Daphnia pulex: one gene and its partner. The protein of the gene in region 1 purifies or fractionates together with the protein of each later gene. This does not show direct contact. Links are inferred from orthologs where the notes say so. Each region holds a gene or a part of one and is shown on either strand. Other genes may lie near its edges.

What was found.
Region 2: the proteins of protein nervous wreck-like (region 1) and neural Wiskott-Aldrich syndrome protein-like purify together in Drosophila melanogaster (affinity purification with western blotting, with the first as the bait; 3 studies listed by BioGRID). This does not show direct contact. The link is inferred for Daphnia pulex from reciprocal best matches to the Drosophila melanogaster genes nwk and WASp.

The regions. Positions count from the first base shown.
Region 1 is NC_060027.1:8,166-16,577, forward strand, and holds the end of protein nervous wreck-like, read left to right. Parts: 5' UTR 1-229; coding exon 230-265; intron 266-379; coding exon 380-477; intron 478-558; coding exon 559-604; intron 605-755; coding exon 756-841; intron 842-917; coding exon 918-1,062; intron 1,063-1,125; coding exon 1,126-1,262; intron 1,263-1,326; coding exon 1,327-1,390; intron 1,391-1,459; coding exon 1,460-1,588; intron 1,589-1,661; coding exon 1,662-1,784; intron 1,785-1,858; coding exon 1,859-1,963; intron 1,964-2,099; coding exon 2,100-2,243; intron 2,244-2,307; coding exon 2,308-2,385; intron 2,386-2,446; coding exon 2,447-2,498; intron 2,499-2,556; coding exon 2,557-2,639; intron 2,640-2,710; coding exon 2,711-2,816; intron 2,817-2,892; coding exon 2,893-3,125; intron 3,126-3,191; coding exon 3,192-3,902; intron 3,903-3,975; coding exon 3,976-4,111; intron 4,112-4,183; coding exon 4,184-4,273; intron 4,274-4,335; coding exon 4,336-4,373; and 4 more. Other genes in the region: carnitine O-palmitoyltransferase 1, liver isoform-like, read left to right, coding at 7,156-7,233, 7,296-7,358, 7,424-7,560, 7,623-7,899, 7,964-8,085, 8,152-8,412. UniProt on the Drosophila melanogaster protein: Adapter protein that provides a link between vesicular membrane traffic and the actin assembly machinery. Acts together with Cdc42 to stimulate actin nucleation mediated by WASp and the ARP2/3 complex.
Region 2 is NC_060019.1:7,008,623-7,017,649, reverse strand, and holds neural Wiskott-Aldrich syndrome protein-like, read left to right. Parts: upstream 1-3,644; 5' UTR 3,645-3,787; exon of another isoform or gene 3,788-3,804; intron 3,805-3,847; exon of another isoform or gene 3,848-3,993; 5' UTR 3,994-4,012; coding exon 4,013-4,114; intron 4,115-4,182; coding exon 4,183-4,410; intron 4,411-4,482; coding exon 4,483-4,579; intron 4,580-4,640; coding exon 4,641-4,927; intron 4,928-5,027; coding exon 5,028-5,813; 3' UTR 5,814-6,231; downstream 6,232-9,027. Other genes in the region: wiskott-Aldrich syndrome protein-like, read left to right, coding at 1,438-1,542, 1,604-1,831, 1,901-1,988, 2,064-2,347; pleckstrin homology domain-containing family J member 1-like, read right to left, coding at 2,545-2,778, 2,847-2,910, 2,973-3,142, 3,210-3,345, 3,413-3,462; uncharacterized protein LOC124190376, read right to left, coding at 6,361-7,332, 7,410-7,676.

The DNA of each region.
Region 1 (8,412 bases):
TGAGTGTAAAAGTGTACGGGCCCCGGTCAGTGCGAAAAAAAAAAAGCAACGCACCCGCACGACGAAAAAAGTAAAAATTAATTGGCGGCGAGTGGCCGACTGGGACAGACAGAACTTACGGGTGAAACCATATTTCCGGTTGAAAGTGAATTCAATCCATTTTTTACCTGAACATTGATGTCACTTTAATTCAAGCCAAGAGTTTCAAGTGTTTCAAAACGAGTGTAGAATGTCGACGACGCAGCAACAACCGCCACCGCGAAAGGTTTTTATAATATTTCAATCGATCTTCTCTCTCTCTCCTCTGCCTATTGTGATGTAAAAATTCTTCTCTTCCTGTGCGCCTCCCCTTCTGGGAAATTTCTCCTTTTATACGCAGGGCAATTATGCAAAGGTATTGAGAAATTTGCATGCGGAGCAGTTGTCCAAGGTACAATGGAAACACCAACAGGAATGCGAACTCCTAGAAGACTTGCGGTATGTTCGTACACTTAAAAGTCATTCGATAAAGTGCATCTGTTTAATTGTGTGTTTTCTTTTTCTTGTGAAAATGACTAGAAATTTCATCAAGCAAAGATGCGCCGTCGAGAAATCCTACGGCGAGGTAGGCCTATAGACACACACAGGAAATATCGATCCCTACACATAATATACTGGCCGTGTAGCATAGATACATTATACATCGAGCTATTGATTGACGGATGTTATATACATTCTCCCCTTCTTTTTTTGACTCTTTGATGACATGCCCGCAGGCCATGCAGAAGATATCGGCCAATTACCTCAACAAGAAAATGCCGCCCATTCACGAACTGAATCACGACGAAATCAACCAGCAATGGTATTAACTCACCCTGGGATATTTCTATTGATGTATAAACAAAAATTGTTAATCGATTGTATTTGATTGACTACAGGACGGTTTGGTCAATATGGAGATCTTTGCTGGAGGAAACGGATAAATTGGCAAAGGCCAAATTGGCCGCTGTCGAAATATTCCAAACGCAAATCGCAGACGACGTGAAAATCGTCCGTCAAAACAAACTCCAACTGGCTAAAAAGGTAAAAACCCCTAATTTTCGATTATAGACACCTGAGATTTTACTTTTACGAATGAATCCCCAGAATCTGGACCTATTGAAAGTGGTGCAAGGTGAAGTGCAAACTTGCGTGACTGAATTGGACAAATTGAAAAAAGTTTACGTCGACGACGAACATGTCAGTCACGACGCTCGTGACAAGGCCCGTGAAGCTGAGGAAAAGTATGCTGACCATTTGAACTGCAATTCAATCCATTATTTTAATTCAAATTGTTTTTATTTTTAGGCTAAAGAAGAAAAAGGGTAGCATCTTCCAGTCGGTTTCCTCTTTACAGAAGACATCGGCCAAAGTAGGTGTCAAATGTTTGGTTCATTTTTAAAAATCCTGATCAATTCAATTTTATATTTGCATTGGCCAGTTGGGGAGTCGAAGGGATTTGTGTGAGGAGAAATCGACTCAAGCCAGAAACGCCTACCTGCTTCAACTTGCTTCAGCCAACGCCCATCAGAATCGATACTTTCACGTTGATTTGCAAAACGTCGTCAAGGTACCATCTTTAATAAACAATCTTTTGATCAACGGCGTACTGACATTTTTCGTCTGATTAATCCAATTTGCAGACGTTAGACGGCGGAATGTACGAAAAAGTGGCCGAATACTTTTCCATTATGAGTCGGACGGAACTTTATACTTGCTCCGCCTCTCAATTCTCTTTCGGCAAAATTAAAGAGCAAGCCCAAACCGTACGTTGTTATTACTTTACCAACCCAATCTAATTAGCGAAATCTTATTTCCTTTCTGTCCATTTATTTTATAGATCAATCGCGACTACGACCTGGCCTGTTTCGTCGACGCCTTCCCAATTCTCAATCAGCATATCACTTACGACTTTGAGCCTTGTGACAATGACGTCATCACGACGGTCAGTTTGCCTCGCCATCTAACGAATAAAATCGATAATTGCTTTTTCAAATCAAAGATGGCGTCTGTGTCAACAAAACACACGAGTCGAATAATCACCAACTTTTCGTTCGAAATTTTTCGTTGATTAAAAACAGGTGGATCAAGCTCACGGAGCTGGTGCCGGATTGATTCAGAGTGGAAAACAATATGCATCTCGTGTCGCCCAAGAATCCAAAAAGATCAGAGAATCGACGAGGACACTGCAAACTCTACAGGGCATGAAAGAGAGTGGCTTGAAGGTTTCTATTTTTCCCAAACTTTTTGTTTGAATGTATAGTTACTATTGTTTTCTTTGTTCTGCAGAGTGATCCGAATGAACCCAACGGACCTGATATTGACGCCAAAATCGATGAAATAAAAAACCAATTGAGGCGCTCAGAGGTATTGGACTTGTAGTAATATTGCTTTTGTGCAGCCATCTCGACATGTTTACATTTCTTAGACTGCCAAAATAAAAGCTGAGGCTCGATTGGAGTGCCTTCATGCTGGTGGAGGTAAATTGTTTAAATTCACACCTCCCAAATTTCTGACTAACATTTGATTCATGTGCAGTCAAAGTAGATGAATTCCTTCAAGACGCAGAGGGTCTGGTGACTCTTGGATTGATGAGATCTTCTAGCCAGCTTTCTTTCCGAGTATGTTTTGCCTTAGAAACACCTTCATGAATCATTCAAATCAAAAGTTTATTTTCAATATTGAAATGAAGGAATCGGCTCACGAGGAATCTGAATTCTCCGACAGCGGCTCTCGCGCTGGTGCTGAAACAACTCAGCAGGATGAAGAAGAGGAAGAAGCTGCTGACGAAGCTTTCGGTAAAAAATCTATTATGCATATGCCAGTCAGATCAGTCTGGAATGACTAATGAGTTGCATTTGATTTTCAAAATAGTCGAGCAAGTGGTACAGCAGCAAATTGCTGAAATGCAGGCAACGTGGCAAGATCCGACGGCCGCCTGGGATACAACCGACGCCTGGGGAGACGACGCCGCTCAGCTCAACACTTCCGCCGCCAACACGACCACCACGTCTGTACAAATTGAAACTGCCAGCAGCGTCACGGATTCGGTGCATGCCAGTGGAGATGCCAGCGTCATCAAATGCATCGCGTTCTATCCCTACACGGTACGTTGATATCATTTTTATAGTTCCTTTTTGATCTTTCAATTTATTCCTCCGTTTGGGAAATAGGCACAAAATGCGGACGAGCTTTCCATGATGGAAAACGAAGAGCTGGAAGTGTTGCTGGCCTTTTCCGAAGGCGACGGATGGGTCAAAGCCCGGAATTACAAGGGAGAGGAAGGCTACGTGCCTGAAAATTACCTGGACCTGCACGCCGACGATCAGGTGCCGTGTGGAGGTGACGAGGACGCCAACCAGAACGTCCATCAACATCCAGCTATTGCGGAGGAAGTCGAGCCGGAAGAAGGGCACGAGGAAGAGGAAGAAGAAATCGTTAGTGCAGAAGCGGAAGGAGGTTACCCGTTGGAGAACCAAATTTCCTTTTCTTCAGTCGACTACACGTACCAGCAGCAAGGAATGAGCGCCGAAGAAGAAGATGAGTTCCCTGGGCCGACCGAAAGCGCTCCTTTACCTCCACCTCCTCCACCCATTGCTGCCCCAGTCGTGGAATCATCTCCAGTTCCTGCCGCTGATGGCCAAACAAACCGAATCATCGGCTACTGCCGGGCCATGTACGACTACGACGCCACGTCTGATGAGGAGTTGACCTTTTACGAAGGTGAAGTCATCGCCATTTTCCGTCGATCCGGTGCTCTACACGATCAGGACGTCGACGATGGATGGTGGGAGGGTCAGCTCCTAACGGACGGTACTCGAGGCGTCTTCCCTTCTTTGGTTGTCGAAGAATGCGGTCCCAACGGCGAAGAATTGACGCCAAAAGTAAAACATTTGATTATTTCGATGATAACAAGTATGGCAGAATATTTATTAACGTAATGGATTGGACTCACAGGTGTCGCCTGCAACACCTGAAGAGGAATCAGTGCCTCCGCCGGGCAGCCCTCCAGTTGTTCCTACTTTCCTCCTGCCTCCTGAACGGGTCATAATCACGCAACCTACTCCCGAGACGGAATTCCCTGATGATCATGGTACAACAAATAGTCCCTCATTTTCATGTAGTTGATCTGATCTTAATTGAATTTTTTTTTTGAATGATCAAGTAGAGCACATGTTCGACCAGAACGCCACCATTAAGGAAATGGATGAAGACGAAGATGATCTTGCTTCAGAAATGATCAACGTCGAGCCAGGTAAATCTTTTAATTCGATTCGAATTTTCCCCCTAATCAATTCTTTGTCATTTACTTTTTAGCCACGCCCACTGAAGAGGAGGGAAACAACAACGGCCAGGTAACATTTGGTAGAACGTTGAAAGTCCATTTCATTCTAAATCAATAATTTTTTTTTTTAATTTTAGATAACTGACGGACTGTCTGGCACTCAGATCATCGTGACGGCATCGACCCCCATGGTTGAAAACGAATTCAAATGTTTCAACCCGACAGATGAAAAGACGTCCGACGACAAGGAAAACGAAATGGAACAAGAATTCGGCGAAGAGATGGAACCGCCTCCGCCACCAGCACCGGAGCCATCAACAACCGAAACGTCGTCATCATCACTAGACCAACCGTTGCCGCCGCCAGCACCAATCGCTGACGAGACTGTGGTCAGAAAAGGATTCGACGACGAGTTTGTCCAACTGGAAACTGCCAAGGAATCTTACGCCTAGAGAAGAACCCACATTATCTGTATGGGCCCTCATGCATTTCAACTGCTGCTCATTGAGCAATAATTGTTTTTTACATTCCTCCCCAATAACCTTTTTGAAAAACACACACACTCACCATTCCATTCTCCACTCCAATTCAGGTCCAGCAAATAATTAACATCACAGAGAGGCTTTCATTTGCGGGTTGTTCCCATTGTAACGTAAAATAGTAAGTTTTTTTTTCTTCAGGTGCACAACGGGACATTATTATATACAAACCAACTCCTTTGATTCATTTTCATAGAAGCTTGTCAAAATATCTTTTACATGTTCAAGGCATTTGTCAAACATTTGCCCTTAGTCTGGATGATGATCTCATTCTATTAGTCCCAGCAGTCGATTCCATGTCGTTTAAAAAAAAATTGATAGGTGTCATCCCTTGATTGGTTCGATAAAGAAAAACGATTGCGAAATTCCTGTTCGATTACATAGGCAATTCTCCAACCCTTTTACAAATAACAAATTCGAAAAAAGAAAAAAAACAAAACAAGATTTCTATTTGCTTATTATCCAGGTGTTTCAATGCTGATGTCAACTCATTTGTAAGATAAGAGGAGTCAACTAGTCCAACCGTAACTTATTTCCAATTAATTATATTTATTTTCACTAGTCCATTTCCATATTCTCCAAACATTTGTCATATTTTAGATTTACAACAAGTCAAGTTTTTATTTCAAAATAACTTAACACTTGTAGTGTCTGTGGGAAAATTGTAAACCAGATAATAATGAGATTTTTAAAAAGTAATCGTAAATACTCTCCTCCTTTTCATTTTGTGACAATATTTCATTTGCGTGTGTGTGTGTAAGATCCGCTGCTATATCGTCGTTTGACATTTGAGATTACTGTTCTTAATTCTGAGCTCCTTATTACCTTGGTCATTCCCCAATACACACAGTCTCACCCCCCCACTTTGTCTAATCCATTTGATTTTTGCGTGAAAAATTCAGGTGCATCACGCCACCCGAGGCGAGAGAAGCGCGTTTGTAAACTAGGTTCATTAATTAAGATAAAGTTAGGAATAACACTGTTCACCGCAACATTTATTTTTTAATGATTTTAAGTTTGATTAGCCATTTAGTAAACCGTAGTAAACATATATAGTTAAAAAAGATAACAAACTTTAGTCTACACAATCACGACAGTCACGCATGGATGGGAGTCCTCTAGCGCTCGATTAAACTACTAAAGGATCGGCGAAATTTCCAGCTAGTCGTACTCCATGACCTCGACAATGAGTTGGCTGCAAATAACTAGTTAAACGTCGCATTTCCTTTCTGGTGTCATCACAAGTCCTGAAGGACACGCGCAAAAGTAACTTTGATTATATTTTGTTTCATTCTCAAAGCCAGAAACGACGGGATTATATTTAAGCTTCCCTGAGGCTTTTGCCAAAAACAACAGGCAATTATGCACAAAATGAAAGAAAATATGATGTGAGACCTTGAAAAGATCAAATAAAAGAATGCAAAATAGAAACAATTTCTCTTTTCCGGAAAAACATTCGCCACAACTCAGGGATTTTCCTAAAGAATGCTGGGATGGTAAATAAAAAAAAACCCGTACCGTTATCAGTCTGTCAATAATTGTGTCACGTGTAAAATTACAGATAGTAAATATTTTGAGGACATAAAATAACAATTGAATGGATTGATTATTTAACAAAAGGAATAAAAAAAGCTGAGTGTTATGTTTGAATAGCCATTGATGATTTGGCAACCTTGATTCACCACGAGAAGAGGAAATTCTCCCGGACGTTCAACCCGGGAAAGAAAAAAAACCTTTTATTATACAACACACGAACGCCGAGTGCTGTGACTTCACCTAATTTCGGCAACCAACCTGCTTTCTGCGTTCAAGACGAGCCCCCATAAGCCCCGTTACATTGCCTTAAGAGAGTCCCAATATTCATTCGCCTCACAGACGGCGAATCGTCTGCCTGCACCAGATAGCTACAACAACCCAAAGTTGTTTTACCTGCTGCCCCACATTTGCCGTAATTTTTAAACTCTCAACGAGCTACATACGTTTCAATCAGGTAATTTAAACCAGCCTTGGCTTAATCATGTGTAAATCGCTTCTTTCGTTGAATCTCCGTAGTAGAAACGAGTTGGTTTGTTTCAGTTTTATTATTAGCCAAGTTCAACAGCCTTCAGCACGTCGATAGTAAGTTGTAAACATACGTTTCTCTTCTACTTTCTCCCGTTCGTTTTATGGTTTTATTCATACCCTTTGGTCGCGTTACACGGTATTATGCGTTTTGTCTAGTGCTTGGATTATGCAGTTCATTGGATGATTTGAATCGCAGACTTGGTAATCATTGCTTGTTTCATTTGCTGGTTTCAACAGATTCACTGAAAGATGGCGGAGGGACATCAAGCTGTTGCCTTCTCGTTTGCCATCACCCATGAAGGTTTGGACGTCAACTTTGACTTTGAGGTAAAATCTATGCAATTGCAATGCTTTGTTTTGTGACGGTCAAAATGGTTTTTCTACTTCAGGTCATTAGGCTTATTGCCAGAAGTGCTGTTCGCTCATGGAGGAAGAGGGGACTTCGTTTTCAGGTTCAGAAATGTTCTGAATGCCTAGCAATTGTGCCCGACTAATCTTTCAATTTTAAACCTTACAGACAAACCTCAAGTCCAACTTTTTCCCAGGTTCTCTTCGCTCCCTGGTTATGACTGAGGCTGTTTTTATTGGTGCAGAAAAGTCAGGATATGATTTGACATGTGGACTAACTGATAAGCTAATTGTCCACTTCCCCAAGTATTTAACCAATGGATTTACTTTTTAATTAAAATAGTACTAATTTCTCTATTGAAAAATAGGAATTCTGTCGAATATCGGGTGCTGTGTTCAGCCATTCTAGGTCTTGCCGGCTGGGCTGGAGTCATTTTTTCGCTGAGACAATTGATGGGTTTGTTGCTCAAGTATCATGGATGGATGTACGAGGAAAGAGGTGCCGGTAGACAAGTCAGTTTACCTACTCGAGCCTGGTTTTTGGCCATGCAACCATTCTTCCGCCTCTTCCAACCGCAGCTCTACTCGTTTCAAGGCATGTTACCCACTCTTCCCGTTCCGTCATTGTCTTCCACTCGTGAAAAGGTTTGTATCAACTTGTCAATTTGACAAATATCGATGAGTGCTTGACTATTTGTATCTTATTTAGTATTTGAGAAGTGTCCGGCCGCTGCTGGATGACGCCCAGTACTCCCGCATGGAAAAGTTGTCACTGGAATTTGTTCGTGGTATTGGACAAAAGCTGCAGCGCTATCTCTACTTGAAGCGAATGTAAAACATTTGTTTGTTCCTTAATTTGAAAAATATTTTAATCAAACCAAATGCGAATGATTTTAGGTGGTCAACCAATTACGTTTCCGATTGGTGGGAGGAATACGTTTACTTGCGTGGCCGTTCTCCCATCATGGTCAACTCTAATTTTTACGGAATAGACACTCTTTTCAAGCATCCGACCAGAAATCCGGCGGCCCGTGCAGCCAACATCATTTACGAAGCTTTGCTCTTCCGTCGAGCTATCGAACGCTCAGAGCTGGAACCCATCATGGTCCAGGGAACGGTGCCACTGTGCTCATTTCAGTACGAGCGCGTCTTCAACAC
Region 2 (9,027 bases), on another chromosome or scaffold:
ATGGTCCTCACATATGAAGAGTATTCAAACTTCAGGTAAAAGAAGAAAATCGCGGCCAAGGCTACACAAAATATGGCCAAAAACATGATGCAGATTCTGATCTTATTTTTGAGTTAAAAATAAAATGTGAATGTCCAAAGCGAGGACAACACAGGTGCAGGTAGCAACGTCATCAACGAACAGCGGAGAGCGAGCTATGAGCGAAGACAAGCTACTTTAGCATTCTTATATATCTACACAAACGCCGGTTGGCTAGTGTGCTGAATTTACCGTTAAGGCGTTGCTTGCATAACAGCATTGTTGTGCCAACAGCTAGTAAGAGACATAAAATTCTAGCAAACGGGAAATACCCTTGGATGAACTTGCCTTCTGCACTGCTTGCCAAAATAAGGCCTCCGCCAAACTATCGTGCCCCGAAGCCAATCATAAAGAAAGTCTAAAGGAAGTGGGCAATCTTTCATAGTCTGCACGGCGTATCAAACAGATATCTATGCATACATCTATTTGTTGAAGACATGCAAGAAACCGTTTCGACCGGATTTGAAAAATAAACGGACCCAAAATCCATTTCCAGCAACAATAGCTATTATACAGTTATTTGATTGTTTATTGATTTACAATATGAGAATGCAATTGCACCTAATATATGCACTTGAGAATATTAATTTTTATATTTATTGGCCTAGTAGAATATTACTCTTGATATGACATGACGACCAAACGAGCAGCACAGGAACAGAAGCATAAATATTTGATGGCGACATTGTTACGTTCCCGTTAAACAATAAAACACGTCAAGTGTAGAAAGGAATCCGATGACGATACCTACATTATGTCAGACTTCTATTGCAATCATTTTTATCAAAAAGAACTAGGCTAATATCAGGAGCTGAATAGGAAAACTGGGGGGAAATAGGGAAAAGAATTTAAAAGTCTCAAAGAAAGACCGACGAAGAATTTCGCAATTGTTTTCCTTAATTCTGGGAATTAAATAAAGCGTTAAAACGAAGCCAAAACTTTTGTTACATATTCTAGCCGCTGATCTGTAAATCACCTGACATTTTCAAGATGCACGTATCCTAACGAGACAAATAATAAATAACAAAAAAAAAGAAATAATGATTAGCGAAGAAATTCAAGTTTAAACGCGTCATTATCACATTGTGATCAAACACATCATCGTCAAAACAACGTTCAGGTCAACAAAATAATCCAGGTAGTCGAAATTTGTCGGGCACGCAAGACTATACTTATCTCTTGTGATAGTGACAATAATGCAACCCACACGTTAGAAAAGTAGCCAGCCAGTTCATGTGGCCTTAGACAGCCGCTAGCAACCGACTAGAACGCCGGCGATAATAACAGGCTCCTGTATCCAATTTATTCACGCATTGAGAAGCCGGCGGAAAACTCGATCAAATCTTTATGCAATAAAATATGGGAGCTTCTAAAACATTCAAGTCACGTCGGAATTGTCCTTCCCGACTGTTGTCCAACGAAGAAAACACGCAACTGAATGAGATTATTGGAGCACAATGCAAAGTAAGAATTACCGCTTTTAAAAATTTATTACTATTGGTGATTGTAAATGTTTCTTTTGTAGAGCGCTGCCACCACTGTTGTCCAGCTCTTTTTGCCCGAGCCACCTGAATACACGCAGTGGACGAAGGAAGACTGCGGGATTTTGTGTTTGATAGAAGACAGCAACTGTAATTTCTGGCTAAAAATATTTTGTCTGGTCCGACGTCAAGTTATTTGGCAGCAAAAGCTTCACGAAAACGTAGTCTATCACGCACCAGCTCCATATTTTCACACCGTGAGCTCCAGCAACGTGAGTCAATTCGCCAAACTCTTTCACCTATTTACTATTTTTTTAAATATTTGAATTATTAAAAATTAGAATACTCAAATTGGTCTCAACTTTGCCGACGAAGCTGAAGCTTCAATCTTTCTTAGAACTGTCAGAGCTTATCTACTAAAAAATAAAGGTATTAAGGACAACATCAAACACTATTTCACATGATCCCGAGATGACATTCAAATCTGATTTTTTAATTCCACAGCAAACACGAAGGACGACACCTTCAGCGTCAGTCCCCCAAAAGATTTTCGCTTAATCAGTCACATTGGATGGGATAAACGAAAAGGATTTATTCTGTACAATGTTGATAACCAATTGATTCAAACATTCTTGACCGGCTTTTGCAACCGAATCAGTAACTGCACACCAAAAGAAAATAACCATCAACGTTCACGGCCACGCAGCTTCAAAAGAAAGAAGATTTCTAAAAACGACATTAGTTTGCCTGTTGATGTCAATGTGATACAGCGGAATAGCCAATTGTAACAAGTGCAAACCAATGCGACGAACGAGAGGCAGTTTTTCTTTGAGCCATTATTTAATGACTAGATTTCGAAAATCAGCCGAACATAACTTAATTTGCTTAATAGAGGAATGTTAATATTAATTACACAAATCTATCTAAATCTCTTTATGATTGGCACGTTTTTTTTAAGTCGGACGGTTGTTTTTTTCATCACTAATCACCATTTGATCAAGTCTTGATCAGGCTGTTTGTTATCACTTATGAAAGAATTTATCGGCAGGGGATTTTCGTCAGACATGTGACTCACAAATGTTTTTGCTTTAGGCCCGATACGTTTTCTGGCTGGGGGCGTAGGTAAAGCGGGAACTGCAGAATTGGAAGGCTGTTTAAATACACTACTTGGTGTAGTACTACTTGATGATGCTGCTGTGGTACTCCATTTAAAAATGCTCTGAACATACCAAAGATTTTATCATTTTAACAATAATTTTCCCTTAAAATTTTTCCTTTTAAACTTACCTTTCCACCAAGACTTTCCAGTTTACTCTCTAAAATTTTGACTTGGATTCTCAAATGTTCATAACTAAATAAAAATTAATTTTATGTCAGCACTGTCCATGTATGAATTATTATGAAAAATTTTACCTGGCTTGCCTCAAGGCTATGACCCAATTCTGTGCTTGATTCACACTGAAGCAAGAGAACACATGTCTGTCTTGATCACCAGAGAAAGTAACAACAAAAGCAAATACCCCAGATCCATCTTCATCAAATGCTACGGAGCAATTTTCTAAAACTATCACACCAATAGGCTCCTGCAAATGAAATTTTAACAGCTTAAAAATGAGACCAAAATTCTTATTTTCTGTACTTCAAACCTACATTTCCTTTAATTCCTCCAAAATTGTTCAAACCGAAGTAAAAAAGAAGATTGCCTGTCAATTTAAACCAGAATTCCTTGAAATTTCCTTTCGACTTTCCCGGATGAAGAACTCTGTAATTTATTCTTCCTTCAATCCTATTTCAAAAAGAATTTTTGTATAATAGTCATCGTATTTATTCTAATACACAATCTAATGTCTCACGTCGCAGGTTTGAAGGAGGTGGTTATTAATTCTTTTCCATTCACATGCATTTTGGTTTAAAGAATCACTGAAAAAAATATATATATTCATCAACAAGATAAAAAATAATGATATATGGAGCAAATCGAATGAAGAGATAAAAGCACAAAAAGATGAAGTTCTTAGAAATGAAAGGCGATCAACATTCCGAACATGAAGTAAACAACTGATCCCAACCCGTGATTCTCATAGCGTTTATGAATTTACCGCTAGATGGAATTGTTTCGTCCTGTCTGATGTGGACCAAACCATTGGACCGTATTGGACTATTTCCTCAAGATAAAACTCTCGTATCTTAAAATTGTGAAACACCGTGTGTAGATCTTCATGAGACTGGTAAGGGAGTGACTGCCGTAAGTGTTTATGAAATAAGCGTATAAATAATAATTCAATTGAATGATAATCGTGAAAAATTCGTTCAAACAATAAGAACTACTTATCCTTATTTACAGTTGTGTGACAGTTACAATTTAATATAAATTTGTCGATGTGTTTACTAGTTTTCGATCGAAAGTTTAATTGACACATTTTGAAAAATCTAGAACCAGTAATAACATTGCCATGACTGCTGCCAAGCGTCCCCAACCTGAAAACAAACCATCATCTATTCTTTCACTAGAAGAAAATGATCAATTATTTAAACTCATTGGCTTGCGCTGCAAAGTAAGTCCCCCCAGTACTAGATTCTTCTAAAAGTCAACATTTAATGTTTTGTAATTTTTCTTTTTCAGAGTATGGCGTCAGCTGTGGTTCAGGTCTGTTTTGCTGATCCACCCAATAGATCCACATGGAACAAACGGCATTGTGGTGTAGTCTGCTTCATCAAAGATAATATCAAGAGATCCTATTTCCTTAGAGTATTTTGCCTCGACAGGCAATCTGCCATCTGGGAGCAAGAATTGTACAGTTCTTTTGACTACTGTGCACCAAGACCTTACTTTCACACTTTTGAGGGAGATGTGAGTCCTGACATTCATTTGATCATATTAGTAAATTACAATATCAATTTGGTTAATATTTTTCGAATGCAGGAATGTCGCATCGGGTTTAATTTTGCTAATGAAGGCGAGGCAGAATACTTTCTGATGGCTATCAAAGAATATTTGAGGATGAAATCGGAGAAACGAGGTGTGTACATTTTGATGTTGACAAATAATGGTTGATTAATAGCTCAGTTGTTGTGTTTTAGAACGCCGTCGTTTATCACAGCAGCAAGTGCAGCAACCGCAACCAGGAAAACCCACGCCAGTCGCCACGAACGGATCGGTACCAAAATCTACAGCAGTACGATCAGCGACAATCACAAACAGTATAACCGTGACAAAAAAAGGGAAGAAAGACAAGAACAAGAAAATTACCAAAGCGGATATTGGAGGGCCATCAGATTTCAAACACATCAGTCACGTTGGATGGGACCCCAATCAAGGATTTGCACTTGACAACGTCGATCCAAATCTGTTGAAGTTCTTCGCCAGAGTAAGACGACTATTTCGCTCAGCATTTCTGTGTTTAACTTTTCTATGGTCTTAACTTAACTTCTGTTATGGTTTAACTTTTTTTTCTTTTGTAATGAAAGGCCGGCATATCGGAGAATCACTTGAAAGACAAAGCAACACGTGAATTCATCTACGATTTTATCGACAAACATGGAGGAAAAGAAGCGGCTATTCGTGAGATTTCGAGTTTACAGTCATCCGGCGGCAGTTTGTTTTCAGCACCTCCGGTGCCAGCAAGGAATCCTCCGTCTACACCTCAGACGGCAAGGATCGCTCCTCCGGCACCACCCGTTTCAGCTCCACCGCCGCCACCTTCAAGAGTGATTGCCTCCCCTCCATCTGTTGCTCCTCCAGCACCTCCTCAACGTGCCCCACCACCGAAAATGGCACCAATTAACAACGTTGCACCCCCACCACCTCCTGTCGGTGCACCTCCTCCTCCTCCACCACCTCCACCGCCTCCTTCATTTGGTGGACCTCCTGCTCCTCCTGTTCCTTCATTTGTTGTTTCGTCTCCGTCACTCCCACCCACTCCAGCTCAACCCGATGTCCGTGGCGCCCTGATGGACGCCATCAAAGAGGGACACAAACTCAAATCGGTGCCGAGTGATGCCGATCAATCGATGAAGAGTGGCGCTAAAGTGCCAGCCTTCGATTCACGCAACGATTTGTTGGGTCAAATAAGAGCAGGAAAGGAACTGAAACCCGTGGAGAAAAAGGCTTCTGTTGTTGCCGTCAGCGACGATGTCATGGAAGGTATGGCCGGTGCCTTGGCCAGGGCCTTGGAGGAAAGATGTCGTGTCATCCATTCCGACAGTGATGAAAGCGGCCAGGACCCAGATGAAGATGACGATTGGGACGATTAATAAAATTTTTGTGAAAATCGTTCCCTATATCAAAAGCAGTCCTCGAGTTTGACGTAGTATTATTTTAAAGAGACTTATTAGTCTTTTATCTTTCACTGGAATTTAATTATTTGCAATATTGCTTCTGCCTAAATCTTCCAGTGGTACAAGCTATCCATTTACATGTTTAAGCCGCACAAAGAATCTTTTAAATAACCGCAACCCAACTGTGACAGCCGTTGCACATATTGCTATTTGCAAGTTAGAGTTAAAAAAAAAATAAAAAAATAATTCATTTGGGTAGTTGTGTGTGAATGATGTGCCTACTTATTAGAATGAAATGTGTTTCTGTTTTATCCTTCTTGTTTTTGCTTTGCCTCATCTACCAATATTCTTTCTTGTTCTGAAATGAATTACACTAATGTCCTATTGTCACACATATGAAGTTCACCCAAAATTCTTAATTAAGCAATAAAAAAAAAATTATTGAATTTGAAGTTCATAGAATTTGGCCGTATTTTGGTGTATTTCTAAATAAGCTAGGAAAAATTACATAACATTTCGGATTTCATACAAATGAATGTAACAAAACCCCACCTGCAATGACTAGCGCCAGGGCTGGATAATGGTGTGTCACTGCCACGCCCAATGCTTTGACGTCATCGTGTGTTTGAATCTGTTTTTGCTTTTCCGGTTGATGGTCAACTCTGGGCTGTGCTGTCACATCTTTTGTCTCCGTCTTCAGAAATTCGCCAAGGCTCTTAACGTTTGAACACGTAATGATTCGGTTACTTGTAGGGTCAGGCGCATTCTGTACGTCACAACCTCCTCGGCTCGAACCCAGAGACTTTCCGGTCACGCCACTCTGCGTTGCTCCGCTGAATTTCAGTCCGAAATGTCCCAGCCATTCTTGACTTACAGCAGTAAAGTTAGTGGCATGAAATACTAAGGACTGATTCGAAGACATCACGTCAGGCAGAATTGAAATGTTGCTGTTCATTCCAAATTGATTGTTTTTCAAATCGATCGAATGGGAATACATGATATCCATGAGTCCGGCTGATTTTGACGAGAGCTGGACAAATTGGTTGCTATCCATTGTGAACGAGCCAGCATTAATCTTCAAACTGAGACGGTTCAAATAGCTATGATTTATGGAGACGGACCGGTCTGTTTGGGGCGAGTCTACTATTATCGTAAAATCTGTCAAGTTACACTGGACGATTTTCAGTTCGGATTTAATAGAAAGGGGAACAAGTTCTGCTTCGACGGGGAATGTGACGTTGACGAATGTCGCTGTATCGGCTACTAATTCAGACAGAGCGTCTTTGTCATAGTCGAGTTTGCCGATATTTTCCAAATTTAGACAATCCACTTGCTTTAGTGAACCAGGTCCTATGTGCAAATGTTTGACGCGAAAAACATTCAACGACTTGATGGGTAAATCTGCCAATTTTGTTTGGGCGATATCGACAAACGGACAATCAACGATGTCCAATTTCACAATGGTCGTCGGTATTTTCACTTGATTCAAATTGATCTACAGAAAAATAAATGAATATGTTTTTAAATATTTTTTTTTTAAATAAAAATCTTTTTTAAAAAAAAGATAAATACCTTTTTGAGTTTGAATTGATCGTTAATGATGCAACTGCAATTGGCTCGCTCGTGTTTCCCGTCGCAAGTACAGCCAGGCAGATTTTGACAGAGGTCCATAAACGTGTCTTTTAGACGAAAAGCTTTACGGGCGGGATCCTCATCGTCATCTACCAACTCGTCAGTAGCGTTTACGGAAATGTCTTTGCCGATATCAGCTAAGCAAACGCTAACGAGAAGGGATGTTAACAAAAAGAAACAAAACGAACGATGATTTACGGCTGACATTGCTGCTGTAAATTCGGACGCGTGAATGACTGAATTAACCGATCAGTTTCGATTTATGTTAGATGAATTTGAGCGGATGTCAACAAAGTCAAACCATTGGAACCGTTGACAAACCTGTCATCCGTTGTTTTTTTTTTTTTTCTCTTACCCAAGTTACCGCAGGATTATCTGGAATTTTGAAAAATCGGATGCACCGACTGGTTGGATTTCATCTAGAAATTGCCGAACAATTTGGTTACACGCAGCTTCCTGGCAAGGGACCTTGTTAGTAATGGATACTAATTCGTCATCTCGAGACTGCTGCGCAATTAAATTGACATAAGATGCGGTCGGCAGTGTAGCGCTCATATTTCATAACTGTTGTTCTATATTAGAACTACAGCTCACTGTATACAACCTGATGAACAATAATATTTTTAATAATAATGTCGCAACTAAGAATTGGGTCATCAACTTACTATAAGTGGACATTAGTTGGCCACTATAAATGTTTATTACTTTCTAAATTTCACAAACTGATTCTACGAAAACCAACGGTCAACAATTGAAATATAAGTAGGCATGATGGATTGTATTGCGTTTTTTGAATTGAAAGAAAACTATGGGTGAAGGACTATTACATTTTGTAGGATAATTTTTAAAACAATGCATGGACATTATTCACATTCCCACCAAAATAAATGTTGCAAAAATAAGGGAAAACAAAGACGAAGTTGCAGAACTAGAAGAACTGGGTGGGCGCTGAAATAAAGGTTTAAACTTGCCGGAACGAACGAAATCTTTCATTGACTGCGGGTCGGGACAATAGATTTGATACTTTTGCGGGCTAGTCCCCCAAACCCATTTCTCTTTGCATTCATTGACACCCCTGTTTGTTTTATTCGGGGCCATGATACCTTTAAAATCGAAAGTGAAAACCTTTAGCCACTTTTCAGCTGATTCTGCCATAGTTTGGTTGGCCTTTTTGTCATCAGGGAAGATAACGTCCATGACGCCCCTATCTTGAACATTAAAGCGAATGTTAGGCATCGACTCTTTATCGAAAGTGTTGTTGCTGAGCTCCAGTGATTTGTAAAACTCCACCCTGGTGCTGGGTGCTACATTTTCCAACTCACATTCTGGCTTTTCACGTATTCTACCTTCTGGAACTAGCGGGACGTCCGTAGGAATAGTACAGAGACTTGGGAAGTTGTTTCCAATCAATTCAAAGCGATCAGCTCTGATGGTCGATTTCAAACCTTCGAGTGTACAACCGCGAAAGCTAACTGTGAGATTGGTTACATCAGTTTGCTTTATTTGAATTTCCATGTCGGTCGACAGTTTGGAATCCCGAAATTCCAAAGTTGATTGG